Sus scrofa: one gene and its partner. The protein of the gene in region 2 purifies or fractionates together with the protein of the main gene of each other region. This does not show direct contact. Links are inferred from orthologs where the notes say so. Each region holds a gene or a part of one and is shown on either strand. Other genes may lie near its edges.

Evidence for each region.
Region 1: the proteins of TRERF1 (region 2) and DNTTIP1 purify together in Homo sapiens (affinity purification with mass spectrometry; 3 studies listed by BioGRID and IntAct, with this or other methods). This does not show direct contact. The link is inferred for Sus scrofa from reciprocal best matches to the Homo sapiens genes TRERF1 and DNTTIP1.

Annotation. Positions count from the first base shown.
Region 1 is NC_010459.5:48,003,768-48,019,315, reverse strand, and holds the end of DNTTIP1 (deoxynucleotidyltransferase terminal-interacting protein 1), read right to left. Parts: intron 10,005-15,548; coding exon 9,936-10,004; intron 9,680-9,935; coding exon 9,623-9,679; intron 9,357-9,622; coding exon 9,298-9,356; intron 8,169-9,297; coding exon 8,123-8,168; intron 6,200-8,122; coding exon 6,141-6,199; intron 6,044-6,140; coding exon 5,983-6,043; intron 3,783-5,982; coding exon 3,711-3,782; intron 2,291-3,710; coding exon 2,235-2,290; intron 2,122-2,234; coding exon 1,983-2,121; 3' UTR 1,748-1,982; downstream 1-1,747. Other genes in the region: UBE2C (ubiquitin-conjugating enzyme E2 C), read right to left, coding at 156-183, 727-827. UniProt on the Homo sapiens protein: Increases DNTT terminal deoxynucleotidyltransferase activity (in vitro). Also acts as a transcriptional regulator, binding to the consensus sequence 5'-GNTGCATG-3' following an AT-tract.
Region 2 is NC_010449.5:37,366,902-37,382,744, forward strand, and holds part of TRERF1 (transcriptional-regulating factor 1), read right to left. Parts: intron 13,554-15,843; 5' UTR 13,295-13,553; coding exon 11,855-13,294; intron 10,139-11,854; coding exon 10,092-10,138; intron 9,214-10,091; coding exon 9,063-9,213; intron 7,595-9,062; coding exon 7,286-7,594; intron 3,636-7,285; coding exon 3,245-3,635; intron 2,329-3,244; coding exon 2,262-2,328; intron 1,218-2,261; coding exon 1,078-1,217; intron 941-1,077; coding exon 837-940; intron 1-836.

The DNA of each region.
Region 1 (15,548 bases), on a different chromosome or scaffold from region 2:
GTGTGTTAACTTCTTCCCAGAGGAGAGCAAGCTGGACTCATCTTTTTACCCCATGCCTATCAAAGAGCCGGAGCTAGGAAAGGAGGCTACTGATAAGTGACTGGGAGGTGGGAGGGGAGACCAACTGGTTGGGTATCCGGGCACCAGTCACTTACCATGAGGGTCATCAGTTCCTGCTGTAGCCTGTGAAAAGAGCATCTGGGGGTCATCTGAGAGTCCAGGGCTCCAGGAGGTGCATCTCTTCCCATCCCAATCTCTCTGGAGCAGCTGTCACGGAGGTTTCCCTCTACCCTGAGGTCGGACTTAGCTGTGGGCATGGTCACCCCCATTTCCACAGGGGGGTCTTAGTGAGTCCACACCCTTCCTAATGCCAGGCTCCCGGAAGGAGAGCTCTGGCTTATTCTTAACCCCTAATTCTGCTTCTCTGGCGTCTCTCTCTGTGCAGGATCTCAATTTCTCACCTTCTAGCCCCCTTCCCCGCCGCCCTCCAGCCAAGCCACAGAGGGTCCCCAGGGCATCTTCATCTTGGCTCATCCACGGAGGATCCTGGCAGCATCCCTACCCCTTCTGTCGTCCTTCAGAAGTAGGCGATCTCCTGGCGTGTACCTCTACCTCTCATACCTCAGCTGCTCCAGGAGAATGTGGGGGTCCCCGGAAGTCTTTGCTCTGGGCTTCAAATGCCTAGGGCGTGCCAGGCCCGGCAAGTGTTCCCTCGGCACCACTCACCTCTTGCCCACGGGGCCCCGAGCGGCACCCCCGCTGGGCTCGGCTCCTTTACGGGCGGCCGCGAAACTGGCGGCGGCTGGGTCGCGGTTCTGGGAAGCCATCTGGGCAGCGCTGGGAGGGAGACAGGATCTCAGGGTATCCGGAGACCACGGCTGCAACTGCAGGGCCGCGGTCCCGCCCGCCCGCGTTTGAATTGTAACCCTCCGGAGGTGCCGGCCAATCAGTGGCTCGCTTGGGTTTAATCCAGCCAATGGGGCGCTCTGTCACTGCTGCATCCACCCACCAGCGCACCACTATTGGGCGGCTGGATCCCTCTTCAGATGGGCGATTGGTAAGAGAGGCTGTCATTAACTAACGAATCTGTAGTGGATTGGTGGCCTTTGGAAAACGCCGACCATTAAATGGCCTAGAAGACATCCACGTGGGATGAATCCCTTGGCTACTACCGCACGCCGGCTTAGGACTCCCTGCTCGCAGAAGGGAGGGTCTCCGATTTCGGGGCCCTGGTACTTATCCCCCAAACCGGATACCCCAGCTCCTCCACTTGTTATTAATGTCCTGGGCACTTTGGTTAGGGCCTTAAGGGTCTGAACCGTCAGGCGAGGGTAAAAACTAGTGGCCGAGGGCCAGAGCCAGAGACCCCCTACTGGAAAACAGGTTCAACGGTGGCCTCTCCAACGGCTTCCTGTGCTACCCTAGGCACTTAATTTCGTGTTTTAACCTTAAAACGGGGGTAATAAAAGCCGCCTTACATTTTCCTGCTGGTTTGTCATCAAATGTCCATGATCCCAGCCGTCACATTCTGCTACTCCCATGCCTTAGTTGGGTGAGGAGATAAACAGGGACAGGAAAGGCTGGCAGCAAGGTACAGGCTGTTCCCAGTTTCTCACGGAGCAGATACGCACAGGCCACTGGGCTTCCTGGGATGGGGGAGGGGTGCTTGGGCCTTTATTCCCTACACCCACTTCCTCTAGGGAGAGCCCTTGATATTTTGTCAGCCCCCAGAGGCAGACTTCACAGCAGGCTCACCATCTGTGTTTATTACAAACTGTTTAATTGCTTCTTATCCCAAAAACTTTACAAATATAGAACCACATGCCAGTCTGGGGGTGCTCTGCAGTGAGTCACTACAAACTAGCCCAGGCATAGCTTAATGCTGCTGAGATCCATCTAGAAGCAGTCCCAGCAGTGACCTCAGCCATGTGGGTAAGAGGGCCTTAAAGGAGGGCTGCCAAGTGTAGCCAGGGGACCTGGCTTCAGGTCTGTGGAGGTGCTTCAACAGCGCGGTGCTCGTTCTCTGTCCGTAGTGTCTCCATGTACTTTCGCATCTTCTCAACCATCCAGGAGGGTAGGACAAAGGACTTCAGCTCCTCTAACTTCAGGTCCAGGCATCCTCTGGGACAGACATTGAAGAGGAGAGTTGGAGCAAGGGAAGATGTAGGTCCAGGCTCATCCCAGGGGCTACTGTGAGGCAGGGGGAAGGGTAGGGGACAGACCGCTGGTTTTACCTGTAGTCATCGCTGGCAGCGAGGTCCCGGATGTCCTCCTCAATGAGGAGGTAGGCCTGGGGCAGGAACAAAGGAGAGTGGTCACTGCCTATGATTCGTTTCATTCCAACTCAATTAACACTTTATTAAACGTCTGCTTAAGGTAAGGGCTAGAAGGGAGGAGTGGAGTCATAGCTTGTAATTTAGCAAGGGAGAGCAAGAAGGGAGAGGCTGTCTGGGGAATAGTTTCTTGAGATAATTTTTCTTTCAAGTAGAGACTAATTTATGGGCCGGAGAGTGGGGATTACTGACTTATTTTTGGCTGTCACCTCTTTAAAAAAGGGCCATGGGGTGGCTTACAGTGAAAGAGCCACAGAGCTAGCAAAATAAACATGGAAACAGGAAGTCAGGAGGAAGCCACGTGTGAACTCTTGAATGAAGATAATTTGGTTTTGAACTTCATGGCAAAAGGGAAAACACGATAAACCACACTGTCTAGTAACTGGGCTATGCTGTCCTGGGGCCTGCAGAACTGCTCTGGCCCCAGGCCGCCATCTGCAGGGGGAGGGAGCCCGCTTGTGAGGGCTCTTACCACATGGGGGATGTTGATCACATGCGAAAGTCTTCTGTGGAAGACATTTCTTTCCAGTGTGAGGGTCAAGAGTAATTGTGTGTCCCCTGAGTCATACGACTGTCTTCATCTTAGGGGCACTGTGAACTATGAAACAGATCAGGTGTCCTTAAGTGGGGCCTGGAGCTGAATTTGTAAAAACCTGTAGAAGGGCACTGGTCTCCCAGGCTGGCAAGTAATCCCATGCCATTCCCCACCCCCACCCTCCTTTTTTAAAACCAGTCTTGTTTGTGGCTTATTTTAGATCCTGCTTTTCCTTTTCTCCCTTTTTCTTATTTATATTATGTGTCAATGGTAAGCTTCCTGATGTCTTTTTTGAAAGAGTATAGCATAGACACCAAAAGATAGCTTCCACTGTCAGAAAGGAGATGGCATAGTGGTTTCTGCGACTAAGTGAATCCTCAGGTGGGGACACTGCATGTGATGGACAAATCCCTCCATGACAGTTTTAGGACACGTGCAATGAGGATTTTCCTAAGGTGGTTGCTTGATATGAGCTGAGAACACTTTAGGTAGAGGTGGTTCTGGAAGGGGCTGCCAGGTGTGGCAAGCAAGTTTCACTGCATGTGCTAATTCCTCCTGCCAAGGGCTAATGCCTGGTACCCTGTGGAGAAGAAATGGTACTGTGCCTGGTGAAAGAGCTGCGATGGAGGGAAAGCTGTCAATGGGCAGCACAGGAGGGGTGGGCAGTGTTGCGAGCGTCCTGTACGCTTGTATGAGCTACACAGGAGGGTGCTGTTGAGATGGGGAGGGGGCACGGGGGAGGGAAGCCAGAGATTACAGTCTGGTCTTCGGTGTGGAGGGCCCTGCCCAATCTCCCAGGGCTGGGTGGGTCTCCGGCAGGGACAAGTGAAAACAATGCTTACCATCTTCCCCCCTGTCGCCCGCATGTGATGCTGCTCGGCCAGCCAGTGCTTGTCCTGGGGGTCAGCTGCGTACTGTAAGGGATGAAGTCACAGGGGGAGATGTCAGCCTGGTGTGATGGGCTTTTCTTTGGTTCAGACAATAGTCTTGCCCCTGGATACTTCTTACCAACAAGACCTCGTCCTAGCCTGGTGGGTGTGGAGGGCTCACCAACCTCTTCAGAGCCAGTAGAGCCAAGCCTAGGCCAGGCGACGGGACCTAATTCCCCAAAATTTAGTACACTCCTAATTCCTGCTTATGTCCTTTCTCAAAACATAGCATCTCTGGCAAATGGACAGACTGGTGACTATTCTTTTCTTTCCGTTTTTGTTTTTTTTGTTTTTTTTTTTTTAAGGGCTGTACCCGTGGCACATGGAAGTTCCCAGGCTAGGGGTCTAATCGGAGCTGTAGCCACTGGCCTACACCATAGCCACACCAGATCTGAGCCGTGTTTGTGACCTACACCACAGCTCATGGCAATGCTGGATCCTGAACCCACTCAGCGAGGCCAGGGATCGAACCCGCATTCTCATGGGTACTAGTGGGGTTCATTACTGCTGAGTCACTCCTGGTGATAACTTTTTTAGAACTCGGCTCCTCTTTGAAGAAATATCTGAAGTGACCAAACACAGGTGACCACACTTTCTAAAACAAAAATCAGGACACTTCATGGCCTGGAGGAGGCAGAAGAGCGTCATGGTTAAGAACTTAGTTCGGGGGTTTAGAGCTCTGCCCACGGGGTCCGCGCGTGGCAGGGAAGGAATGCAGGTGGGCCGAAGAGCCTGCACACGCGTGGGTGGCCAATCAGGCCTGGTGTTTTGAAAAAGAAAGGAAAGGGAAAGAAGTTGGTTTTGCTGCTTAATAGAAGAGGTAAACCTGGGCAATAATTTCTTTGAGACCCAGTTTCTTCGTTTGTAAAACAGAGAGTATTAACACGTACAGGGGTGTTAAGAATAAACAAGACGGAGTTCCTGTTGTGGCGCAGTGGCAACGAATCTGACTTGTATCCATGAGGACTCGGGTTTGACCCCTGGCCTTGCTTAGGGGGTTAAGGATCTGGTGTTGCTGTGAGCTGTGTGATGTAGTTGCAGACACAGTTCAGACCTGGCGTGGCTGTGGCTGGCAGCTGCAGCTCCAATTAGACCCCTAGCCTGGGAATCTCCACATGCTGTGGATGCGGCCTTAAAAAGACGAAAAAAAAAAAAAAAAAAAAAAAGGGTGGTAAATGGAGTGTAAGACACATCAGTGCTCAGTGAAGGTAGATTTTATGTAACAGGCAGAACATCTGAAATGGAGACCAAGCAGGGAGATCTCCATGTTACTATCCTTTGAGTTTAAACAATGATTTCATTTCCCAAGTGATATAAATATTAATCAGAAATTTAAAAGTGTGTACTTTCTGGAGTTTCCTTGTGGCACAGCACCTTAAGGATTTAGGCATGGCAAAAAAAAAAAAAAAAGAAAAAGAAAAAAGTGTGTACTTTCTGACCCAGCAATCCAATTCCAGGGATTTAATTCTTCAGAATCAGCCACACATGTACACAAGGATGTTTGGTGTAGCATTGTGTGTAATAGCAAATCTGTTGGAAAAAATTTAAATATCTATAAACAGGGGAGCAATGAAGTAAATTACAGACTATTCTATGAATCCTACACAGCTATAAGTAGAATGAGGGAGACTTAATAACATGGACGAACCTCTAAGACATTGTCTGCTAGATTTACAGTGGTCCTCACACCTTCCTGTAAAGGGCCAGCTGGTACACATTTTAGGCTTTGCGGTCATATAGATCTTTGTCACATGGTCTTTTTTTTTTTTTTTAATCACCCTTTAAAAATATAAAAACCCTGAGTTGAACAAAAACAGGGTACAGATGGATTTGGCCCACAGCCCACAGCTTGCCCTGCATTAGAAGATAAGCTCTATGAGGGCAAGGAGCTGTGTGTATCTGTTTTTTATTTTTTGTTTATTTAATTTTAACTTTTTTATTTTTGGCCTTGCCCATGGCATGTGGAAATTCCTGGGCCAAGGATTGAACCCACGCCATAGAAGTGACCGGAGTCACTGCAGTGACAATGCTGGATCCTTAATCTGCTGTGGCACAGAGGTAAAGGTTAAGGGCAGAGGGGCAACTGGAACTCAGACGTCCTGACTCCCCGATCAGTGTCTATTCCCAGTTTCTCTGAGCCACCTACTCCACTCAGCGGTCCGCCTCGCCCTCAGCTCTCACCTACCTTAAAGAGGTGTGGGTGCTTGATGTAGATTCTCCCTCTGGTGCCCCCCATCCCCAGGGCCCTGCAAAGTAACACACGGGTGGTGAGGACCCCAGTGGCTGCCGTCCTCATGGACCCCGAGCTTCCCCCTCCTCAGCACCAAGACGCTTCACACTTACTTGTTGGCCCGAGATCCCAACACAAAGGTGGTGGTTTCGTTCAGCCGAGCTGGGTCCCACTGGGAAAAGGAGAGAGAGGCTGGTGAGGTGGAGGTCTCACTGGTGGGCAGGACAGAAACATGCCTCCCCAGTCCATTATTCAACACACAGCTGATTCAAGAAACCGAGTACTTGTCACATGCTAGGCCCTGTGCTACATACAGGCATAAAGGAGTGACTGAGAGACAGCATGTTCTCTGGGCCACAGACATACGTACAGATAATGATATGAGTGCAAGGGGAGCTAAAGGGAGGGTGACAGGGCACCTGCTTCTCCTTGAAGGGTAATTCCCAAGTTGGTTCTGAAAGTGAGAACACAAGCTGGATAGGGTAGAGGCCAGGAAGGAGGGGCAGCATGAGCAAAGGCGGCGAGAGCTGGCTGGGCTTGCTGGAGGAACCACAGCGATTCTGTGTTTTGGAAAGAGATGTGCGAATTCCGGAGTGGCAACTGATGATGCTGGAGAGGGAGGAAAAGGGGGGCCAGGAGCCCTCGCACACGCCGTGGATGGGTTTTCCTTTTGTTTCTTCTGTAGGCGATTGGGTCACTGAAGGCCTCTAAACAGCAAGAGCCAGATTTGCGCTAAAGGTGGCTCGATCTTCAGCAATGTGGCTACTGGGTGTGGAGGAGCAAGACTACAGGCAGGGCGGGCAGTCTAGAGGTTGTTGCAAGAGAGCAGTTTTGAAAGATGAGGGCCTGAGCCAGGACAGCAGTGAGGACGAAGAGGGAACAGGACCTGGATACATGTACTGAGGAGGCAGAAGCATCCGGGACTTGACTGGATGTAGGGAGAGGAAGGAAAGGAATAGGCAAAGGTGACTCAAGCAGAGAAGGTCAGAGAAGGTCTGGGGGGAAAGCTGCCGACTTCAATTCTGGATGTGCTGAGTCTGACGTTCTATGGAAATTCCAAGCCGAGAGCTCGAGCAGTGAGCAGGATATACAAATTTTAAACTAGAAAGAGAGGGGTGGGACAAACCACGGGGTAAGGCAACCTGGGCAGGTACTGGTCCCCGAAACCGTAAGAGTGGATCCTCTAGATCACCCGGACAGAAACTTTAGGTGGAGACATGGGCAATGGAGCGAATTCTGGGGAACGGCCATCTGTATGGGTCACTGCCGAGGAAGGACTCAGTAGAGGGAGAGAAGTGCTCGGAGAGGAAAAGACAGTTCTAGGAGGATGCAGGACCCCCTGCTGTGATGTAGCAGAGTTGAAGAAGGAAGGCGTGGTCACTGGCGTGAACGCAGAGGGCCAGGACGACAAGGAGTGGATGGCTTCTATGGGATGCAGCTCTACGGGGACAGAGGAGCTGGCATCCACCTTACTGCGCTTCCAGGTATGATTTTAATTGAAGAAAGGATTCTACTGCTAAAAAGCCTGCAAATTTCTGTTCTGTAGGCAACAGAGGCTAACAGCTAAGAACACAGACTCCGGTGTCAACAGTCTTGGATTTGACCCTTGGCTCTGCCACTTACTTGGTACATGACCTTGGGCAGCTCTGTAACCTTGAATGCATCAAGTGTATAAGATAATTAGGTAAAATGAGATTATTCCAGCCCACGAGGTGGGAAAGAAAGCTCCTGAACCACAGAGGGGTAACAGAATCTAACTCATAAGGTTGTTACAAAGATTAAATCATGTAATCCATACAAAAGATTCAGGGCAGCGCCTGTCACATATTAAGTACTAAAGGAAGAGTGACAACTAGTTTTACTGGGAGAAGGCTTCAGCAAAGACAAAGCCCTTTCTTAGTTTTGCCCCTAATGTCAATCCTTCCTTGGGATCCTCCTGGAAGGCCAGCGTTGGGAGGTGGGATGGGGGGGAACGGTCTGGAAGGGTGTGCACTCGTCCCCCAGCCCAGGCCCTTTCCCTCGAGGTGGGGCCCAGAGCCTGGACTGAGTCCGCCTAGGCTGGCGTGTGCTGCCAGCTGCGCTCACTTCATCATACCTTGGGGCCTTCCCGGCGAATTGGTTCACAGGATTTTGGTTTCCATCTGATCGGGAGGAAAGAAGAGGGGTGAATTCTCCAAGATCAGGCTAGACTGAAAGCAAGTCTGCTGCTGCTGCGAGTTCCTCACACTCTCACTCCAGCCTGGGTGTACTGGGGACCCCACAGCACCAGGAGCCACCCCAGGATCTGCTCTGACATCACCCAGCATGTGGGCTGCAGTTTTCTCATCTGACAGAAGGAGGTAACAGCAGCAACTCCCTACCTCGTGTGAGTAAGGAATGAATTTGCTCCGGGAAAGGGAGAGATGGAAGGTGGGAGGGATACACGAGGCCAACCCCTAAGTTGGTGGTTTCAAACTACCTCCATCTCTCCTAACCAGACCCGTGTGGCTTTATCTGCTTTATCTATTGGGCTTCCACGTAAAGTTCTGTTTGAAGAAAAGATTCTGTTGCTTCAAAATCTTTGAAAATGACCATCCTGGAGACAATGTAGTATAGTTTTGCTGTTATTAGCTGCCTGACTTTGAGCAAATAATTCTGAGTCAATTTCTTATCTCCAAAATTAATTATACCTTAATTACTTACTAGAGAATGGCTCCAGTAAGGAATAAAAGGCACAATACATAAGGTATTTAGACCAGTTATGGCACATGATAAGTGTTCAATACATACTGCTAATAAAAAAAAAATATCTCTCTCGGAGTTCTCATTGTGGCTCAGTGGTAAAGAACCCAACTAGTATCCAGGAGGATGAGGGTTCGATCCATGGCCTTGCTCAGTGGGTTAAGGATCCAGTGTTGCTGTGAGCTGCAGTGTAGGTCACAGAGATGGTTCAGATCCCATGTTGCTGTGGCTGTGGCTGTGGAGTAGGCTGGCGGCTGCAGCCTGGGAACTTCTGTATGCTGTGGGTGCGGCCCTAAAAAGACTTAAAAAAAAAAAAAAAAAAAAAAACCTCTGGTGTTTAATGAAGTTGGGCTGAACTGTTCTGGGGGCAAAACCAGGATAAAATCACCTCCCCTCACTGCCATGTTTCTCGGCCTCTCAGACCACAGTAACTCTCCTCCATGGTGACCTACACTGAAGGAGTGATTTCACCAGGAGAGAACTCTGGCTTCTTCTCCTCCAGGCCACTCCCTCCCCGCTCTCCTTCTGGCTCTGTTGGCCCCTACTCACACCATGCCTGCGGCGGCCCGGTCATTCGACAGGATGTGTCCAGGAGGCCGTCCCTTCCTCTGCCACAAAGAACAGCTGTCAGAGGCCTGACCCTGTGGGAAGCCCCCACCCACTGGGGCGTCCAGGGGAGAGGGCTTTCCCTTCTAGACCGCCAGGGAACTCCCTTCCAATGAGACCAAACGACCCTCGAGAGTGACCAGGGAGGGTGACGGTTCCCAGGTTCCTGCCCCTCAGGCTAGAGAGGACCAGAGATGAGCTGAGGAAGCTCAGCCCCTTCTGCAGCTGCAGGGCCTTCTCCCGGCCAGACAAGGAGGAGATGGTTTACCTTTTTGGGAATGGGGCTCCCCCGATGGGCACCCTCCTCTTCTGCCTGCCGGCCACGCTGCGGGAGAAGGGAAGGGAGTTGGTGGGAGGCCAATGCCCAGGAGCTTCGGGTCCCATGGGGCTGCAGAAGTCAGAGCCCCTGGACCACTCCTCAGCCCCTCCCTGAGCTGGGACTCAGAAGCCCTCCCAGCACGATGCTATTTATATCTGGCCCCACAAATGCATGGTACCTAGAGCCTCCCCTGGAGCCAGGGAGTTCACCTGCCTCCCAGTCTGAGTGGTCTCCCCCCTCTAAGACCCCAGGTGACTCTGACCTTGATCCCTGGAAGCTCATGGGTCAATCTGGGTATTACTTTTTCTCCATCTGAAAAGAGTAGTTTAGCCTGAAAGGAAAAGACCAAGTGTTACTAGTCACTATTTTAGTAAGTAAGCCTCTCTGTCTCCATTTTTATAGACACAGCTTCAAGCTGGGTTAAAACTCTTTCATGGTCAGTACAAAGGGATCCTGAGACATGGACACAAATAGATATCTTTAAAAAAACTTGGAGTTACCGTCATGGTGCAGCGGAAACAAATCTGCCTGACTAGGAACCATGAGGTTGTGGGTTCGATCCCTGGCCTTGCTGACTCAGTGGGTTAAGGATCCAGCATTGCCATGAGCTGTCGTGTAGGTCGCAGATGTGGCTTGGATCTGGTGTTGCTGTGGCTGAGGTGTACGCCGGCGGCTACAGTTCCAATTAGACCCCTAGCCTTGGGAACCTTCATAAGCTGTGGGTGCAGTCCTCAAAAAAACAAAAGACAAAACAAAAAAACAAAAAAAACCTTGAGTAATTAACGACCATTGTTGAAAAATTAGAAAAATGTGAATAAACAAAATAAAAATAAAAAAAACCCCAAATCTGGAGTTCCCGTCGTGGCGCAGTGGTTAACGAATCTGACTAGGAACCAGGAGGTTGCGGGTTCGGTCCCTGCCCTTGCTCAGTGGGTTAACGATCCGGCGTTGCCGTGAGCTGTGGTGTAGGTTGCAGAGGCGGCTCGGATCCCGCGTTGCTGTGGCTCTGGCGTAGGCCAGTGGCTACAGCTCCGATTCAACCCCTAGCCTGGGAACCTCCATATGCCGCGGGAGCGGCCCAAGAAATAGCAACAACAACAACAACAAACAAAGACAAAAAGACAAAAAAAGAAAAAAAAAAAAAAACAAAACCAAATCTGAAACCTCAGGACTCAGAGTACTGTTAACATTTCGATGCAAACTCTTTCTCACTTTTTGCCATGTAAATATCTGCTATGTATTTTTTCTAAGTAAATGCACTGATATTAAGCACAGTCTTCAGTAAGTTGCTGTTTTTCATTTAATCGATACTGAGCACAAGGGCCTTGCTCTTGTGGAGCTTATATTCTGTGGGCGATCTGGACGTTAAGCAAATAAACAAACACATAAGCACAGTGACTGTAGACCATGAATTTTTCTCTGAAGGAAAAAACACCAGCCAGGCAGACGTGACAGAATCACCCAAAGGGAAAGCTACTTGGAGCAGGTGGCCGGGGAATGCCTTGCTGAGAAGGGTGCTCTGGCTAGGATGTGATGGAGCCAAGCAGAGAGAAGGCTGAGGAGAAATGTGTTTCAGCTGCAGGGGGAAGCACAAAAGCCCTAAAGTGGGAACAGATGTGGCTCATTTGAAGAAGAGGCCTCGCGGTCCTGGGAGAAGGAGAGGGGTGAGCGGGAGCATGGGGAGGCTGGCAGGGCCTTGGAGGCCTGTGAAGAGCTGGGTTCACGTGACCTCTTGGAGCCGCACTGGACAGCCCTGAAGGCTCCCTCCTTCTGGAAACAGTCTTCTATGGGCTCTGTGGCCACACTCCCTGGTTTACCTCTTGCTTCTTTGGCCATTCATCCTTGGCTGTTGTTTACTGGCTCATCCTCTTCAGTCTGGTTCTTTTCATTAGATAGTCTGTCTGCTCTCATCCATGCTCAGAGCTTCAGCTAGCATCACCTGCTGACTCCATAATTTTCTACCTTCAGTGGTGGCCTCCCCTGACTTATATAATGGTGTTCCAGATTTATACAATGGTCTGCTCCACGTCTATGTGGGGGTGTCTCAAATTTGCTAAGTCCACAATTGAACTTGTGATCTTCTCCTCCAAATGTGTCCCTTTTCCGTGAAGAGTGCACATATCTCTCTCAGTGGTTTTTGTTTGTTTTGGCTCCAAGCTCAGCATAAGGGAAGTTCCTGGGCCAGGGATTGAATCCAAGCCACATCTGTGACCCGCCCCACAGCTGCAGCAATGCTGGATCCTTAAACCATTACCACAGCAAGAACTCCTCAATGTGTAATTTTGCACCCATCTGTGTGGTATTTTAATTTTTCCCTGTCTGCCTGACTAGGCTGTTAGTTCTAAGAGAGAAGGAACCAAGCTTATTCATTTGCTGTATGTTTGTTCACTTGTTTGCTCATTCACTCGATAAGCAATGTACAAACAAAGGAAAACAATGTACACATATTAAGAGTCATATTCCAGGTCTGTGAATACAGTGATGAACAAGATCAGGCCTCACCTCGTAAAGCTCAAGATTTTAGCAGTGGAGGGGGTAGGAGGGAGGCAGAAAAATACGCATACGAACTACCAATAATTTCAGATGGAAATACACGGTGGGAATAAACAAGGTGAGACTAACTGGAGGTGGGGAAGGGAGTGAGATGGGGGCTACTTTAGATGGTGCAGCCAAGGAAGGCCTCTCTGATGAGCTGAGCTAAATCTGAAGAAAAGGAGCCAGCTTTGTAAAGAGCTGAGGGCAGAGCATACAGGCAGTGAGAAGAGCAAGCGCAAAGGCCCTGAGGATGGTGTGCTGGGGAGGCAGGAGGATTCCAGGCGAGAGCATAGCTGATGGGGGGGAGGTGGGGGGAGATGAAGGAGCCAGTCCAGGTAGGGCTCTGTGGGTCATGGGGAGGCCTTAGGGTTTATTCTGCCTGCAATGGGAAGTCACTGAAGAGTTTGCAAGAGGATGGTGACACAATCCAACTCATCTTTAAAAAGACAGGAGTTTCCATCGTGGTGCAGCAGAAACAAATCCGACTAGAAACCATGAAGTTGCGGGTTTGATCCCTGGCCTTGCTCAGGGGGTTAAGGATCTGGCGTTACGGTGAGTTGTGGTGTAGGTCACAGACGCAGCTCGGATCCTGTGTTGCTGTTGCTGTGGCACAGGCGGGTGGCTTTAGCTCCGATTCGACCCCTAGCCTGGGAACCTCCACATGCTGCAAGCACGGCCCCAAAAAGCAAAAAAATAAAAAATAAAAAGACAGGTCTGGGAGTTTCCATCATGGCTCAGTGGAAATGAATCTGACTAGTATCCATGAGGACGCAGGTTTGATCCCTGGCCTCACTCAGTGGGTTAAGGATCTGGCGTTGCTGTGAGCTGCAGTGTAGGTCGCAGATGCAGTTTGGATCCTGCATGGCTGTGGCTGTGGCGTAGGCCAGCAGCTGTAGCTCTGATTTGACCCCTAACCTGGGAACCTCCATATGCCACGGGTGAGGCCCTAAAAAGCAAAAAACAAAACCAAACAAAAAACCAAACAAACAAAAAAACCCCCAAAAACACACCAAAAACAAACAAAAAAATAAATTGCCTTCAAAGACATAGGACTAGATGGAATCACTTAAAACAAGAGGGAGGCACAGAAGAGAAGGGGTCCTGGACAAAGAAAAACGAGGAGTGTTGCTCCCCACACGGTTCTACAGGGTTAACCCACTTGTAACCCACTGCAGCTGCCCACTGACAGCACACCCGAGGGGCTGCAGACCAGGCGGAGGCTCTCCGTGCTCTAAATAAACAGGCCATTGGACAGTTAGATGGGCATCTCAGGAAGAATCTCAATGACCCCAGATTATTGCCTCTTACCATATAGAGAAAAGCGTTAAAATCACGAACCTGAAGTATCTGTTCTTCGTGACATGCGGTCACCTCTTACCAAGATATATGTTTGCTTGACTGCATGCATTTCCCTGTCAAAAAAACCGATATAAAAACTGGCTCCTCCTGTCCCTCTTCAGGGCAGCTCCTTCAGAGCCACCAAGAAGCTGTCTCCTGGGCTACGGTCCTCAGTAAGTCCCTGAGTAAAACTTAAGCTCACAACTCTCATTTTGCACATTCTTCTTTAAGTCGTCAGGTCTGAGGCCTGAACCTGGAATGTCTCAGCGGTCAGAGGCAGAGCAGATGAGCTGGCCGAGGAAAGTGAGGAGGGGTGGCCAGCGAGGTTGGAGCAATGTCAAGGCCTAGGAGCCAAGAGGGGAACGTTCTGAGAAACATGAAAACGATCCACTGCGATGAATGCCACCCAGCAGTTGAGTGAGCTGAGCTACGTGGAGGTTACCTTACCGGTGATACTGATATAAGAGGGTGTGAAGGGGAGACTGAAGACAAAACAAAGTAAAAGAAGCAAAGGGAGGTGACAAAGTGGAGCCAGGGATAGCAACCTTTCCCAAAATCTGGCTGTAAAAGGGGATGGAGAAATAGCGTGGCCTCCAAAGGGGACTGTGGGCTCGAGGGTGGTCTGTTTTCACTCCCTACTGTCTTCCCAGAACCCCCAGGAAGGAACACACATGTGTATAACATACACAGGTGAAAAAAAGAAACACATCTAAATGTTAATAGAAGTTATTTTTGGTAATAAGATTATGAGAAATTCTAATTTTCTCTTGTAATTAATTATATTTTCTTATGTAATATGATAAAATTTAATTTTTGGTTGTTCCTGCTGCATGTGTAAATTCTTGGACCAGGGATCAAATCCTTGCCACAGTAGTGACCCAAGCCACGACAGTGATACTGCTGGATCCATAACCCAGGAAACTCCTATATTTTCTAACTTTTTTTTTTTTTTCCTGTCTTTTTGGGGCCACACCCGTGGCATATGGAGGTTCCCTGGCTAGGGGTCGAATTGGAGCTGTAGCTGCCAGCCTACACCACAGCCACAGCAAGGCGGGATCTGAGCTGCGTCTGTTACCTACACCACAGCTCGTGGCAACGCCAGATTCCCAACCAACTGAGTGAGCCCAGGGATGGAACCCGAAACCTCATGGTTCCTAGTTGGATTTGTTTCCACTGCACCACGACAGGAACTCCTATTTTCTCATCTTAATATGACACCAGCCACAGGTAACATTTGTTGAGGCTTTGTTGCTGATCTAAATGCTTTAAGAGTATTGCCACATTTAATCCTCACAACAATCCTACCAGGTAGAACTATCCCCATTTTGCAGATAAGAAAACTGAGGTCACACAGCTAGAGTCAGTAGTAGAGCCAGGCTCTACTATGAAGTAGATTTCACATCTGGGAAGTCTGAATCAAGAGGAAATTTGCATTCTTAACACATGCCACATTTGTCTTAATGAATGTGTATTATCTGCACACAGCAAACCTCCCAGAAGATGCTCTTCTCTCATCTCACAATAATTATCCTCAAAGGGCTGAACCCAAGCCTGCCCTTGTGCCTATGGTGATGAAATTTCCATCTCTGAGAGCTGATGGCTTCACAGTTAAGCACAGAATCTGAGTGATGCTGACAATTCCTATTAATAACAGCAGCTGACACATGCAAACAGGTTCACGACTATCTAGAGAACACAGCCATTTCTAGACCTGATGTCATGCCTCCTGACCACACCTTGAGAGGCAGGAAGGCAGAAAGGCAGAAAGGGTGAGAGTTCTCGTGATACCCCAAGGGGCTGCGACTACTTGAAAGATCAAGTCACCAAGCACTTGCAGAGGTGAGCAAGACCTTAGCTATTCTACTTCTTGCTTGTTCTAAGCCATACTTTCTCCATCTGTAAACCAGGGATTGAAACATGCCTTTGGTACAGGTTTCTTCTGAGACGTAAATGAACTAACGCAGGTGAAAGCATCCCCACAGCACCTGGCATCTAGGTGCTA
Region 2 (15,843 bases):
GCTCTGGCTCGGATTCCACCCCTGGCCAGGGAACTTCCATATGCTGCAAGGGTGGCCGACAAATAAGAAAAAATAAAAAGTAAAAATTGGAAGGATGCCACCAGGTGGTGCACAGCAACACTGCACTCTGGTTAGGGGAGAAAACGGTTCTCTGAATGTCATCCTTTGGCTGATCTCCATAGGAAAGAACCTTTAGTGGAGTATGACAGACTCCTTCAGGCCAAGTCTGGCTTCAGGAGGACCTTCTGCCTCCATTACCGCAGACCTGTCTCCTGATGGGAATTACAAGACTGCTGAAAAGAAAGCTGAGCTTCCCAAGACAGATGTTCCTATCATTATTACTTAGGAACAGATGTGTAAACAAAAGTTCAAATGGAGGTTTTCCTACAGGCTTTTTTTTTTTTTTTTTTTTTTTGTCTTTTGAGGGTTGCACCCTAAGCACATGGAAGCTCCCAGGCAGGAGTTGAACTGAAGCTGCAGCTGCCGGCCTACACCACAGCCACAGCAACCCCAGATCCGAGCAGCATCTGTGACCTACACCACAGCTCATGGCAATGCTGGATCATTAACCCACTGAATGAGGCCAGGGATCAAACCCACGTCCTCATGGATCCTGGTCAGATTAGTTAACCACTGAGCTATGATGGGAACTCCCATACAGGCTCTTAAATCCTGACCTCCTCATTGAGATAAGGACCATGGCAGGCACGTTGGCTGGACATCATCTTATGAACTGGCTGTATGATACAAAACAATGCAGCATCTTGGGAAAGTGCTTTTCAGAATTCGGACATGATGAATATGAGCCTGGAAGCCTGCTCTTCGTGGTTCCTTACCATGACATCACCTTTGGCCTCGAAGAGAGAGTGCAAAGCAAATTCAGAATTGGTCCCGCCACCTGGCAATGCACTTGAACAGCACAAATTCAGGAGAGTCTCCACTGTTAGGAACAATGAGAGGTCACTGCATCAGAGAGGGCTCAGGGTCGCGGAAAAACACACCAATCCTGGAGCCAGGGTTCCCCGGGAGGAAGAGAATCCAGCCTTTCCCGCCCGGTTCTTCCCTGGGTTCTAGTACCTCTTTGCTGGAGGTCATGGTTTTCCAGCTCCGGCCAGGGCTTCCATACCAGGGTGGCCTTGTGTGTGTCCTGGGCCAGGGCAGAGACATCCTGGAGTTCTGGGATTTCCGCTTGGAATCTCAAGCCAATGTTGATGCGCCTTTAATGACAAGAAGAAAAACAACAGTGCGGTCTTCAACTTGAGGCCAAGGGCAACTGTCAGGGACTTGAAAAAGAAGGAAACCCGTTCCTTCTCCAAGAACAAGAGGCAGGGGCATTTCCTCACAGTGTGATCCTAAAAGTCTGGGCATGGCCTTCTCACCGGGATAAGGAACGGCTTTAAGATTGGGGAGAGATGCTGCAGGGAGCAAGGGAGAAGGGGCTTCAAGGAACCTTAGAGCTGGCTGGGGAAGGTGCTAATTCCCAGGGAACAAGGCTGCCCGGAGCATGGCTGATGGTACCACTTAACCCACAGAGACAAATACAAAGTTCTTATTTCATTTTTTATCCCTTCCAGACCACTCCATATACATGGTCCCATCTGAACTCCACAAAGACCCATGATGTAATAACCAAGGCAGTGAAAATGATTCCTATTTAATAGATGAGTTAACTAAAGCCTAGAAAGGTTACCTTGATCAACAGCAAGTAACGAAATGTGCTGGAACCAGGTTTTCTGATTCCTGACTCATCTATTCAGCACTCTACCATCTGGCCTTTTCTGTGCTTACCCATGAAATTAACCACCTTTCTCTTCCATTATACCCACACCCCCGACCAAGCTCAAGTATTCAAGCCCGGTCTCTTGGAGGACTGGCCAAGAATCTTTGGAAGAGGACAAGGAGAGCATGGCATTTGGATGCAGCATGTGGAGAGCTGGGCACCCCAACAGAGATGTCTCAGCATCACTTGGGATGTGAACGCATGTAGCCCCAACCAAACTGGCCCTTGGAGCCGGAGACAGGGATGCTAGGTTTGCCAAATACAAGGCTCCATGCTTTCAAAGCACTTAGTCTTTAGAAAGGTCTTGAAACACTCGCCATTACAGGGAAACAAACAGCACTTGAGAAATACTACGGTCCTACGCTTTCTCCAGTTTCCTGTCCAGCAGCCACACTGACTCCCGAAGTACTAACTACCCTTCCCACAGCTCTTCATCCTCAGCTGAGCCTGCTGTTCTAGAGGGTACTTGGCTTTTCCTTACGGTTCGACATCAACAGTCTGCTCTCCAGGCCCCGGGGTGACTGTCACGTTGCTGCCATCGATGCTGTCTGAAGCACAAAAAAACAGAGGTCACGGGGTCAACAGGGAAGGGTACTGAAGAAACAAAATGAGCAGTTACTTAAATTGTCATAAAAGTGCTCCTCTCCTTCCCAGTTACCCCAGGAGTCTTCCAGGAGCTGGATGGAGTGTGGGGATACACGGCTTAGGGATCCCTACTTCGCACAGGATAAGGAGATGCCAGCTGCCCTACCCCCGTCTGCTAAGCTATCTTTTTTCTATGAAACTATTCTTGCTCCAGAAAGAGATCTTGGCCACAGGTCTCTCCTGCTTGACATTCATACAGCAGGCTAAAATGCAGACGTGTGGTCTTGCATATCATCCTATTTGTACACCCACTCAGCATTATTTATTTACATATTTATTTATCTTGTTTGGGCCACCCTGTGGCATATGGAGTTTCTGGGCCAGGGAACAGATCCTAGCTGCAGTTTCGACCTAAGCCCCAGCTGTGGCAACACCGGATCCTTAACCTGCAGTGCTGGCAAGGATCGAACCTGCAACCCAGGGCTCCCAAGAGACCACTGATGCCACAGCGGGCACTTCTTTTACTTATTTTTTCAATGGCCGCACCCAAGGCATATGGAAGTTCCCAGGCCAGGGATCGAACCTGTACCTCCACAATGACCCGAGCTACTGCAGCGGGATTCCTAACCCGCTTCACTACAGCGGGAACTCCTACTTAGCATATTTATTGGGGGCATCTCACATGGTTATCCACAGCACACTTCAACTGCTTTTCCTTATCCCAGAGAGACTGTCATTATCAGCTACACTGATGCCCTTGAGACTAGGTATTCTGATTCTGAGGACTTCCAGCTCCTAGCACGGGGCCTGGTATGCAGAGCAGATCCCCCACCAAGCTCTGCGGCGTAAACGAGAGGGAGCCGCGACGGGCCGACTCACTGGAGCGGCAGAGCAGCACGCGCGGCGTGGGCGTCAGGGGCGTGAGGGGCAGCTGCGGGTGGGCGCCGGGGCCGTGGCCGTGGCCGGAGATGAGCACGTTGCTGAAGAGCCCCGAGCCCTGGCGCACCGGGCTCAGCATGGGCGGGGGCGTGTAGGGGGGCAGCTCGAGGGCGGGGTCCAGGAGCAGGTGGTCGCCCAGGATGCGCGGGGAGCGCAGCTGGCTCTGGTACAGGGTGGCGCCCGAGTGCGAGGCGCCGGGGTTGGGGTGGTAGGAGGGCGGCGGCGGGATGAAGAGCGGCTCGGGCCGGTGCCGGAACTTCTTCTTCTCGGGCACGGCTTTGACCGGGTCCTCGGCTTTGGCCGCACCGGCCTGATGCTTCTTGGGAATTTCCTACAACGGGAAGAACGATCCAATTCAGATACTTCCAATTCAGATGCTTGGGCTTTTCCCACAGGCCATTTCCACAGGCTGAGGGAAGCGGGGCTTCTGTTGGAAAGGCGACTCCTCCCTTCCACCGCCTTCGCCTCCTCCTCCCCAGACCGCAGCCTCCTCTGCCTTAAGAAACCGTCGCATCCATTTCACACAAGGCGCGATCTGGTGGCTCCATTAGGGCGAAAACTTTGGTTCTGGAGGAAATGCCTAATGTCTGGAGAGGGATGGGGGTGGCAGGGAATAGTGGGTGGGCAAGAAAGAATAAATTCTCATTCTTCAGTGCTTATCACTGCATTCCCATCTGGTGAGTGGAATCCAGCCGAGGGGGCCCTTTAATTCCCCACCTCTCCCCCGGGGACAGACTTCAGGGACAGATAACATATGTTCTGAGAAGGGACAAAATAAATCTATACAGGGAAGCTGGGCAGAGGCTGCGGGACAGGAAGAGGGGGGTCAGGCCTAGGGGAGGCTCCCAGGGCCAGTGACCCAGTGGGTTCTCCTTCCAGGTCACATCAGGGCTGAGGCGAGCCGTCCAGGACCTTTGAGGGCCCCCTCCTGTGCGCCTGGAAATGGATGTGGTGACCCTCCCCCCTCACCACCCCTGCCCACTGCTCCCAGCATTCTCCTCTGCGGCAAGCCCTTCTCCTAGGTTGGTTTCCTGTCAGCCGTGTTAGTTTGTTTCATACTGGCAGAACCAAGCATAGCCTGGGAGGAAGATCGGCCACACAGGTACATACATACTAATAAGTAAACACATGCACGGAAAGAGATAAGCAGGGTATGCCAAAGCCAAACACAAACAGACTTGGTCGTGTGCCAGCATCAGCCCAGAAAACCCCAGAGCTGGGTGTGGCTGGAGAGGCAGTGGTATGGTTGGGGGAGTGGTGGGCATACCTGCAGAAAAGTTCTGGGCGGTCTGTGGTACCCTCCCAGGCCCCTCAGAGCCAGCTATGGTCCCTGGCAATCCCTCTGCCCAGGGTGGCGCCTGAGCAGGAGGCCACAGGGGATGATGGGAAGGCTGGCCCTGGTCATGTGACCAGGCTCCTCCAGGCCATGTGACCTGCCTCAGTCACCCCTCAGCTCTGGGCTCCTCTTCCTCAGGGCCCCTTCTGCTGCCTTCAGCACTTCAGGCTGCCCCTCCTGTCTCTGCCTCAGCTTCACCATCTGCTAGGGTGCCGTCCCAGCCCCTTGGCGGGGAGCCTAGGGAAGCAGAGAGGTGGGGAAAGGAGAAGGGGCAGAGGGGCCCCAGACTCCCATCTCACCCTCAGGAGGCTCTCCTTAGGCCAGGGAGCTGCAACCTGCTTCCTGTCCCCACCAGAGGGCTCCTCATCGCCTGAGGCTGAGGAGAGAGGGGGCTGAGGAGGAGAGGGGGGCTGAGGAATGGGGAGAGGATGCCTGAGCCCCCAAACTTGGGGAGCAATCCCAACCCTTTACACCCTGTTCCCGGGTAGCTGATGAGGTGATTTCCATCCTGCACTGGAATCTAGACCTCTGACCACAGGGCGAAAGGTCTCTGCTGGGCTCTCCCTATGTGCACCTCTGGTTCTGTTGCTCTAGCTTTAAACTGGAGCTTTCTGATCCTCCAGGCAAGATTCTGAGGACCCTGAGCCAGGGAAGGCACCAGAATGTCAGACCTGGATGTCACTTGAGAGGAGGCACTTACAGAGTTCCAGCCAAGCTAATCAGACTCTGGAGGCAGGGCCAAGAGCAGAGACGTTTACAAAGCTCCCCAGAGGGATGACGGTCCCTGATGGGTCCGACCCCGCCCTCTCAAGGTCAGGGGAGAAACCAAGGTGCTGAGAGGGGAAGGGTTGCAGCTGTCTGCATCCCAGCGGCCAGGAGCAGAGTGGGGATAAGAACTGGACTTTTTAATGTCTTTCTGTTAAGTGTCAGGACCTTGCTCACATTTACACAGTCCTACCTATGTGCTTCCACTTCGGTTTAGTTCCTCACAGTATCTCTCTCACCCTTCCCACAGAACCGAGTTCAGCTCTGCCTTCAAGGCCCTGCTCGGAACTCCCCTCACGATGCTCTTCTTTTTTTTTTTTTTTTTTTTGTCTTTTTGTCTTTTTTGTTGTTGTTGTTGTTGTTGCTATTTCTTGGGCCGCTCCCGCGGCATATGGAGGTTCCCAGGCTAGGGGTTGAATCGGAGCTGTAGCCACCGGCCTACGCCAGAGCCACAGCAACGCGGGATCCGAGCCGCGTCTGCAACCTACACCACAGCTCACGGCAACGCTGGATCGTTAACCCACTGAGTGAGGGCAGGGACCGAACCCGCAACATCATAGTTCCTAGTCGGATTCGTTAACCACTGCGCCACGACAGGAACTCCACGATGCTCTTCTAAGGGAATTTGCACCAAACTTCCCCTGTAATAGGGCCCTTCGTCCCGGGCCCTAATTACCTCAGCAACGCAGGTGTGTCCCCAGCAGCCACCCGGAGGGTATGACTCTTTCTCGCCTGCCCTGCTCATCCTCTCACTGTCTTCTGTGTGTGTGTGTGTGTATGGGAGGGCTGCTGCCTGGGGTTCTGACCCCTGTGTGACTAGGAACCTCACTGTCTCCAGTGAGGCTGGGAGCTCCCCAAGGGTAGAAACGCTACCTCTCCCGCCACATCGGGAACTTCGTCGGGCAAAGCGGGAGCCCGGTTGTGTCATTTCATCTCTGCCTGTTGCTGGCCCACAAGACCTGCCAGCTGATGAGAATCCGCCCCCCCCCCCCAGAGGGTCTCCATCCATCTCTCCTCTTCTGAGCTTCAATATTACATAGAGAACCCCAAAGGCTCTTCCTGGACTTTTCTAGTTCTCTTAATTATCTTTCTGATCCCTATTCTGGCCCAAGCCCACTCTCCCACCTCCTGGATTCCCAGCAGCCACCTACTCTCCAAGGACAAATACGACCCGGCATACCACTTGTGGGGAGGGGACAAATCTGAGGTGGTCAACCACAGGGATTACAGACTCGCCAGGGGTGGGAGGGAGGGAGCGGGGGGATAGGTCCCTGTCCCAGACCCGAGCTAAGCTGCTTGGCTGAAGCACTTGAAACTTGAGAAAAAAGAACTCAACGGTGAGTGAGAAACACAAGTCTCTTTGCTTTCTCGAGATTGGGGGTGGGTGGCTCAGTGGAATTACTTTGGGAGCCTTCATGAATCAGGTCCTCGGAGGGTACTGACGCAGAGATGATACTGCAAATATCAAGTCTGGTAAGACTGACTGGCCATCAGAATGGATGTCAGGGCTACTGCTTGGAGGGCCCCATACACTAGGGGTGACATCTTTGGCTGCCAGATCTGAGGAGGTCCCGGCGGAGGGGCCTGGGCCCTGGGCAGGAGCTATTTAGTGTCTTGGACAGGTCTTGCATTTTTTATTAACTGTGATTACCTCTTCGGTTCTGGTCTCTCAGAATCTAACCCAGACCGTCAGCCCGGTAGAGTGGCAGGTGTTTACTGGGTAGCAGGCACTGTGGACACGGGTGGGAAACTCCAAGGCAGCCATCGGGGCCAAGCCATGCCTGAGCCCAGGTCGGGGGCCCTGGCACAGCTGTCCCCCGTCTCCGAGAAAGCAAAGGGAGGTCCCCACCCCAGGCAGGCGGGGCAGAGCAGCGACTCACAGCAGGCGGGCGGGGGGCAGCCCCTTGGGGGGAGTGCGGGGGGGAGAGGGTCATCCTCACGAGCACGGGCATCTCGTCGTCCGACACCGAGCTGGCTGGCTTGTCTCTGGCCGAGGGGGCGGCAGCGACGCTGTTGGCGAAGCCCTGAGAGCTGGGCTTGGGCGGCAGAAGCTTGACAGGGACAGACACGGGCATGACCATAGGCGTGAGGCCTTCCGCCTCGGCAGGGAGCTGCGGCGGAGGCGGAGGCGGAGGCGGCAGTGGCGGCTGCGGCTGAGGCGGAGGCGGCGGGGCCTTCTCTCCTTCCTCCTACACAGACAATAAAGGCTTTGATCCTGGGCCGAGAGCAGCTCTCCCAAGGGGGGTGCCCTGTGCCCTTCCTGAACCTGGAAGGTTCCTGGGCATCCCGCGTGGGTGACAGGGAACCAGGGCAGGGTGGTTTCCTTCCTGCCGCCCCGCGTCCCTCGGCGGCAGGGATGCCCGTGGGCAACGAATAAGGCCCTCTGTTCTCTACATTAAAAAAATTGTGACTTTGTATCACTTGTACATTAAAACAAACGGTCAAGAAAAATTTTGTGTGGGTGTCACTGCTTTCAAAGAAAAAACGATATGGACTCATAATCAGGCAAAACAACACAACAGCAAAACCCCCCAAATTAAAGTCTTGTGGAGGACCTTTTAATTCACTGGGCCTCAGTTTGCTCATCTGTCAAAAGGAAGACAAAGCTCTTTTAACTGGCATGATCAGGAGACGCAGTGACCTGGGTCACAGCAAAGGTTTTGGTGAAGAGAGTTAATCCCATGGCAACGATATTCAAAGAGTTGAGAAAAATTCTTTGAATTTTAATCTAACACTAAACCTGCATGGACAGGGAGGGGTTGGGATGGGCTGGGAGTGTGGGGTTAGTAGATGCCAACTGTTGCATCTGGAGTGGATAAGCAATGAGATCCTGCTGGATAGCACAGGGAGCTATGTCTCATCACTTGTGATGGACCATGATGGAGGATAATGTGAGAAAAAGAATGTGTATATATATATGTGTGTGTGTGTGTATATGTATGTCCATATATATGTGTGTATATATATATGTATATATATGTATATGTATATATATGTGTGTGTGTATATATGTGTGTATATATATGTATGTATGTATGTATATATATATATGTATATGTATATGTATGACCGGGTCACTTTGCTGTATGGCAGAAATTGACACAAAATTGTAAATCAACTATGATAGAAAAAATAAAAATCTTTATAAAAAAATTCACCCTGTGTGGCTAGTTCACCACGTGGATATCCTACCTGGATAATCCTGAGGGCATTTAAAGGTCTTCAGATGCTAGAGTCTAACACTAGTGCCCTGGTGAACAGAAAAGGCTGGCTGGAGCCTGACAGTCAACAGTAGCCTCCCCTGGCCATCACTGACGGATCTGGAAGGCCCAAGGGACCCCAGTCTTGACTGTCAAGCAGCAGGAGTTAAAAAAATAATACATCTCCATGTTTTCTTGCTGTCTTCTCCAAGAGGTATGTAGGCTGGGATCCCCTTAAAGGATTTCTACCACCTCTGTTCTGGACTCTTGTTCACAAAGCCGGTGGCAGTGGGGACCGTGTGACCTGGCTGGCTCCCAGCAGCAAAGCTGAAGCACTTCTGTTAAGGAAGGACTACGCCTCTCAGTGACATGGGGGCTCACGTCACTCTGTCTGACGGCAGCAAAGCAAAGCAAGCAGCACATGGCCTGGGAAGGAGCAGGGCTGATGCCGACTCACCTGTTTGAGGCTGGGCGAGGCCCTCATCCCCCCGTGGGACCGCATGTGCCCGTTCAGGGCAGGCAGGCTCTTGAACTCCTTCAGGCAGATGGAGCACGTCAGCTTGTTCTTGGCATCAAACTGCTCCCCAAACACTCCTTTTGGCTGGCCACTGCTCAAGGGGAGGGCCAAGCAGAGAGGACACGCACAGTGATAAAGGGGAACAGTGACTTATCACAAGACCTCACACCCCACAATGAACCCATTTCATTCATCCAGAGCACCCAGGGCCACAGTCCCACTTGTAGCGCCCCAGTTGCTTTCTGAGAACTAAGTCCAATTTACAGATGGACTTAGTTCATCTGTAACTAAGATCCTCAAGATCCTGCAAGAGTTGAACCAAATGTCTTCCTTCATTCTAGGCTTTCAGGGGCTTGGCCCCATTCCCCTGCCCCCATGCTTATTATCCATCTAGGGTCAGCTTGGGTCTCTTCCAGAAGGCTTCCTTTAGAGACCTGTGTTTAAGTCTTCTGGTTCAACCTCCAGATCACACGCCTTAGCAGTTTATCAGGTTCTGGCTAAGTTTTTATTTACCACGGCCACCAGGCGAGAAAACAAGACCGTGCTATGATCCACTGTGGCATCCGCAAAGCTTAGCGCTATGCCTGGCACACAGTAGGTACTCAATAAATACTGAATGCATAGGGGATAGAACATGGGCTCTGGAGTCCACCCCAGCATCCCTACTTCCTCGATGTGCTACTTTAAGCTCTCTGAGCCTCAGTTTTCTCGTGCGTAAAATAATAGTAATTATAGCCAACAATGGTTGAGTGCTCACTTTGTAGTGGGCACATGGAAATCACACCCACTCTTGCTCAGTTACCTTATTACACACAAGAGAGAGTAACAGTAAGCGCTCAAACACAGTAACTGCTATTATTATTCTTATACATTTCTTTGAGGAATGGCTTTGGAAATGAATCATGAGACAATCCAGGGAAATCTCCCAGTCTCCCCAAATGCCAACGAGCCTCCATGCATCCAACATACCTTGACTCAGGGGACCCCGGCTGGGCTCTGCCATCAGGTACGTGCATCTAATTTGAGCCATGCAGGGCACCGGAAGAAAGAAGAAAGAAAGAAAAAAAAGAAAAAAAACCATGTGTTTCTGATGGGAGGGGTCCTTGAGCAGCAGGAACCCCCAGGGCCTGCACTTCTAGGGTTCTTCCCCGCTCTCCCCCTCACGCCCACTGGGCTCACGGCCACTCCTGACCTTATTCTTCCACACCTGAGGCTTCCAGACTTCTTGCCCTTGACGGTCCCGGGTCTGGGGCCCCGCCCTCTCAGGGGGCCCCACCGGCCACAAGCCCGCTAGGACTCATTCCCCACCTCCTTCCTTCCTGCTCTCCCGTCCACCCACTCTGTGCACAGACAGGCTCCATTCCCTTGAGAGACAGCATCAAGCTGGGCGACTTCCTGCTGGAATTCCTTCCCAGCCCTGTCCTCTTATTTTCATAATCACAAAGGCTCTCCGTTACCACTGGCCCAAGTCCTAAACACAACAAGGTCATGGGGAGTTCATCTCTGGCCTTCACCCCTCCTCACAGCCCCCCTCCTCTCTATCCTGGTCCTATTCAAGGTGACCTCCCCCACCCCCAGACCCTGTTGTCACATGAGTGTAGCACCTGCAACACGCCAAGGCATGAATGGTGCCCAGCACACCGCAGGGTGGTTTTGTGACCAAATACATCTGGGGAACAATCAAGGGTTAGCAAGGGTCACCTGCAAGCTGAATCTGGCCTACAGACACGGTTTGCCTGGCTAGACTGTTTTTAAATATCCTGACTAGGAGCATCATGAGATGGGGCATCGGGTCTCCTATCTACTGCAGACCTTATCATCTCCTACCAGGCCGTGTGGCTTATTGACTTCACCTGCCTGGATCCTGAGGGCAGCGAAGGTTTTTCATCTCTGCAACTATATGAGGTCTCCCCTTGGGGATGCTCACGGTGCACATGAGCATGTTAAAGACCCTGAGAAGCCCAGCAACACAGCACCCTCTTTTACTTTAAGAAACCCTCCATCCAGAGAACCCATTCCTCTTCCCCAGCAATATCCACTAAACATTCTATGAACTCTTTTTTTTTTTTGCTTTTTAGAGCCACACCTGCAGCATAGGATAAGTTCCCAGGCTAGGGATCAAATTGGAGTTGTAGCTGCCAGCCTACACCACAGCCACAGCAACCCCAGATCTGACCTACACCAAGGCTCATGGCAATGCTGGATCCTTAACCCACTGAGCCGAGGCCAACGATGGAACCCGCATCCTCATGGATCCTAGTCGGGTTCGTTAACTGCTGAGTCACGAAGGGAACTCCTCTATGGAACTCTTATTTGGAGCAACGTCCTTTGAGAAATGCTGTCATGACGAGGTCTCCCTCGCAAAGGGGGAACAGGTGCCCAGGACATTCCCTAAGGATATAGTTCTAAGGGGGCTAGACACCGTTATTAGCTGGTCCTGGTCCCCGAGCACCTGATCAGACCTTGACCATGACATGCATCGTTCGGGACCTGCTATGGTATTTTGGCCCTCTCCTTAGTGAGATTCTAAGCTCTAGGGGTGAAGCCCTGAGTCAAAATGGACTCTGAATTCCAATGGCTTGGCGTAGACAGCGTCTGGTCAATGTTTGTGGAATAAGGCAAGAACGGAAGTGCTGCAGGGGTTGGGAGGGAGGACCTGGCACTGCACAGACTCAGCTGGCTGGCCCAGGAGCACACCCCGATACCAAGGGCAACATCCACGGTGGGAGTACCTGGGGCCACATGGCACTGGGAGACAACTGCTGGTGCTGAGGCCCCATGTTGTTGAGGTGGATGCCACTGGGGGACAGGAGCGGCCGGTGCGGGAGGGCACTGCTGACCCGGTTCAGGTCCGAGCTTGCCGGGTCTCCCATTCCTGTATCTGGAGGCCCCAGGTCCCCGTGGGAGCTCAGCATGGCCTGGGCCTGCCGGTCACTTGGATAAGTCTTGGGCTGACTGTCCTCATGCTGCTGGTGCTGGGGCAGGTGGCTCTGCTGGTACAGAGGGTGGCCGTAGGGCTGCTGAGGCTCCTGGTAGTAGTACTGGGGCATGGAGCCCAGCTGAATCAGCTGGACAGCGTGCGCCTGCTCCGGGGTGTACTGGTGGGGGTCCCTGTGGTAAGAAGGGGGCTGCAAGTGCATCTGTGGCTGCTGCGGCTCTTGCAAATGCTGCATCACGGGTTGGGACTGAAAATACTGAGGTATCTGCATCGAAGCCTGCCGCTGCTGCAGCTGCTGCTGTTGCTGCTGCTGTTGCTGCTGGGGCTGTGACGGGCGAAGCGGCTGCAGGGGCGGCTGCATTTCTTGCATCGACATACGCTGCTGCCCAGTTTGCTGCTGCTGCGGCTGGGGCTGCTGCTGCGGGTAATACTGGTGCTGCTGTATCTGCTGCATGTGCGGGGACAGCATCTGGGGGGCCTGCAGGGACTGTCCTCCTTGCACTGGCATCTGTGCCAGGGGCTGCTGGTAGTCATAATACAGGTGCCCTTGGCTTGGGTGCTGCCCAACCTGAAGAGCTGGTTTGGACAGCCCACCTGTGAAACCAGGGTGAGGCTGCTGGGGCACCTGCTGGTAGCGGGAGGGGACGGCCGGTGCTGGGGGTTCCATGGGCTTCTGGGACAGCAACTGGCGGAGGGCACTGTCCGGGGCTCCGTCCATCACTGACGACTGGGTGTGCAGCACCTGGGCCATATTGTTGACCTGAATCCGCAGGTTTTGGTTGGCAAACACCTGGGTGAAAGAGTCTAGCTTGTGCAGGACACCGCTGGTGAGCTTCTGGGTCCGGATCTCGCTGGCCTGGGAGTAGGTGTACTGGAAGCCATCGGCGGGCTCCGCCTGGGCTGGTGCCCCCCACATCATGTTTGAGTTGGTCAGGTTGCTGCGTAGCTGGACGTGGTTTCCAGGCCCTGCGGGCCCTCCCCACCCTCCCTGCCTTGAGGTATCCACTTGGCCAAGGTTTTTGGAGCCAACAGGCAAGCCTAGACCGTCCCGAGGATCTTGAGGGAAGTGGGGGGAGATGGGTGATGCCTGAGGAGCATCCATGGCAGCGCCAGGGACCGTATTCCCATAGCTGTGGTTCAGCCCGCCGTGGACGCCAAGAGGTGGCTGTTGGTAGAAAAGGTTCTCACCACCATGGGCCACGTGGTTGGTCTTGTACAGTTGCTGATCCCCCATGGTGCCTGCCTTGGTCGTGAACGTCCAGCCACAAAACCATAAAAAACAGGTCAATGACACAAACCCGAAAGGACTGAAACCCTGAGAAGCAGAGAGAGAGCGTCCACACTACTCCACGGCTGACATGTCCGTGCCCGTGGCTGGAGCCAGGTGTTCCTGTTGGCCTGTACCACACATGTGCAGAGCGGGGGGGTTTACATCCTCACCCGGGCTGAGGTAGGGACCAAACGCCACCGTGGTGAAGAGGTGCCGCTCACACCTGCAAGACAAGATGCAGAGGACAGGAAGGGATTTACCTGATACTCTGAAGTGAGCAAGTTTATCTACCACAACCCATTATAGAAATAAATACGACACAGGGGAGTTCCCGTCCTGGCACGGTGGTTAACGAATCCGACTAGGAATCATGAGGTTGCGGGTTCAATCCCTGACCTTGCTCAGTGGGTTAAGGATCCGGCGTTGCCGTGGGCTGTGGTGTAGGTCACAGACGAGGCTCGGATCCCATGTTGCTGTGGCTGTGGTGTAGGCCAGCGGCTACAGCTCCGATTCAACCCCTAGCCTGGGAACCTCCATATGCCGCGAGAGTGGCCCAAGAAATGGCAAAAAGGCAAAAAAAAAATTTTTTTTTTCTATTTTTTTAATTAATGATGTTTTTTTTCCATTATAGCTGGTTTGTAGTGTTCTATCAATTTTCTACTGTACAGCAAGGTGACCCAGTCACGCATACATACATTCTTTTTTCTCACATTATCACACTCCATCATGAGTGTCTATTACACTTAGACTAGATAAACAATGAGGTCCTGCTATATAGCACAGGGAACTATATCCAATCACTTGTGATAGAATATGGTGGAAGATAATATGAGAAAAAGAACATACACATACATATGACTGGGTCCCTTTGCTGCAGAGCAGAAATGGGCAGAACACTGTAAATCACCTGTAGTTTAAAAAAAAAAAAAAAAAGACATAGCCGGTTTCATACATGCTGCACTTTTACACTGATTCTGTAGATCTTGACCCCCATGTGAGAAGTGAATTCTCTACTTTCAAGCCATTGCACAATGGCTCGTTAATTCAATGTTTTGCTCACTGATTAATCCATCCATTCTTCTGAGACCCTGCTACAGAAAGCCCAGCACTATCCTAGGACCTGTAGGGGATATGAAAAAATTTTAGACCTTCATCAATCAATTCATCTGGTCAACAAATATTTATTTATTAGACACAGACATCTACTAAGTATAAGGTACAATGCTAGGAAATAAGACACGGGTCAGTTCTCAAGGCACTTATGGTTAGAAAAATTAGTTGGTCACATGATAACTTCAGTATAAGGTGGAAAGAGATGCACATAATAAAAAGCTAAAAATAAGAGATAAGGAGCTCACAGACTGTGGACTGTGTTTCCAGCAGAAGAAGAGACTTGGAGAAAGTTTCAAGGAAGAGTATGCACATGTCAGTCCATAGCTCCCTGCTTCCTTGGGGTCCCTGCTTCCTTGGGGTCCCTGCTCAGGGAAACATCTGTGTACAGTGCTAACCACCTGGCTGGAAGCCAATGGTGTGCTTGACTCCAAAAAATAGGCTGGGCCATTCAGATTCCCCCTCTTAGAAACATGAACTAGGACATTTTGAGAGAGTGGTTGAGTCTGATTCCAAGTCACACAGGTTCTTTCATGAACTTCACTTTTTTTTTTGTCTTTTAGGGTCACACCCATGGCATATGGAGGTTCCCAGGCCAGGGATTGAATCAGAGCTACACCTGCCGCCTACACCACAGCCACAGCAACACTGGATCCTAACCCACTAAGCGAGGCCAGGGATCGACCCTGTGGCCTCATGGATACTAGTCAGATTTGTTTCTGCTGAGCCATGACGGGAATTCCTCTTTCATGAACTTCAAATGGGGGTGTGTAAACCCCTGGGAGTACACTAAGACTTTCCAAGCACTACCCACACATGCGAAGTTATAAGAGAATCAGTGTCCAGTTCCTCAACTTCCATAAAAACCCTTTTCTAGGACTAAAGAGAGACAGTCCTGCGGGACATTTGGTTCTGTCCAAAATGCCTGTAAGACACTGGGTCCATAAGACATTTGGCCCATGTCAAAAGGTCCTTGAAATCTGGTCTCATTCAAAACCCCCATAAAGCTGGAGTTCCCTGTCGTGGCTCAGTGGCAATGAACCCGACTACTGTCCATGAGGATGGGGTTGCTCAGTGGGGTTAGGGATCTGGCATTGCCCTGAGCTCTGGGCGGTTGGGATCTGGCGTTGCTGTTGCTGTGGCGTAGGCGAGCAGCTGCAGCTCCGATTTGACCCCTAGCCTGGGAACTTCCATATGCTGTGGGTTCAGCCCTAAAAAAAAAAAAAAAAAAAAAAAAAAAAAAAAAAGAGAGAGAGAGAGAAAACGTTCATAAAGCATATTTGGTCCATGCCAAATGGTTCTGGATGGATTAAATGCCTGCTAACCAGCTACAGATGTGCAAGATGTCCTTTTATTATACCTGCTCTTTCACATCAGCCCTCTTCCTTTAGGAAAGAAAGACA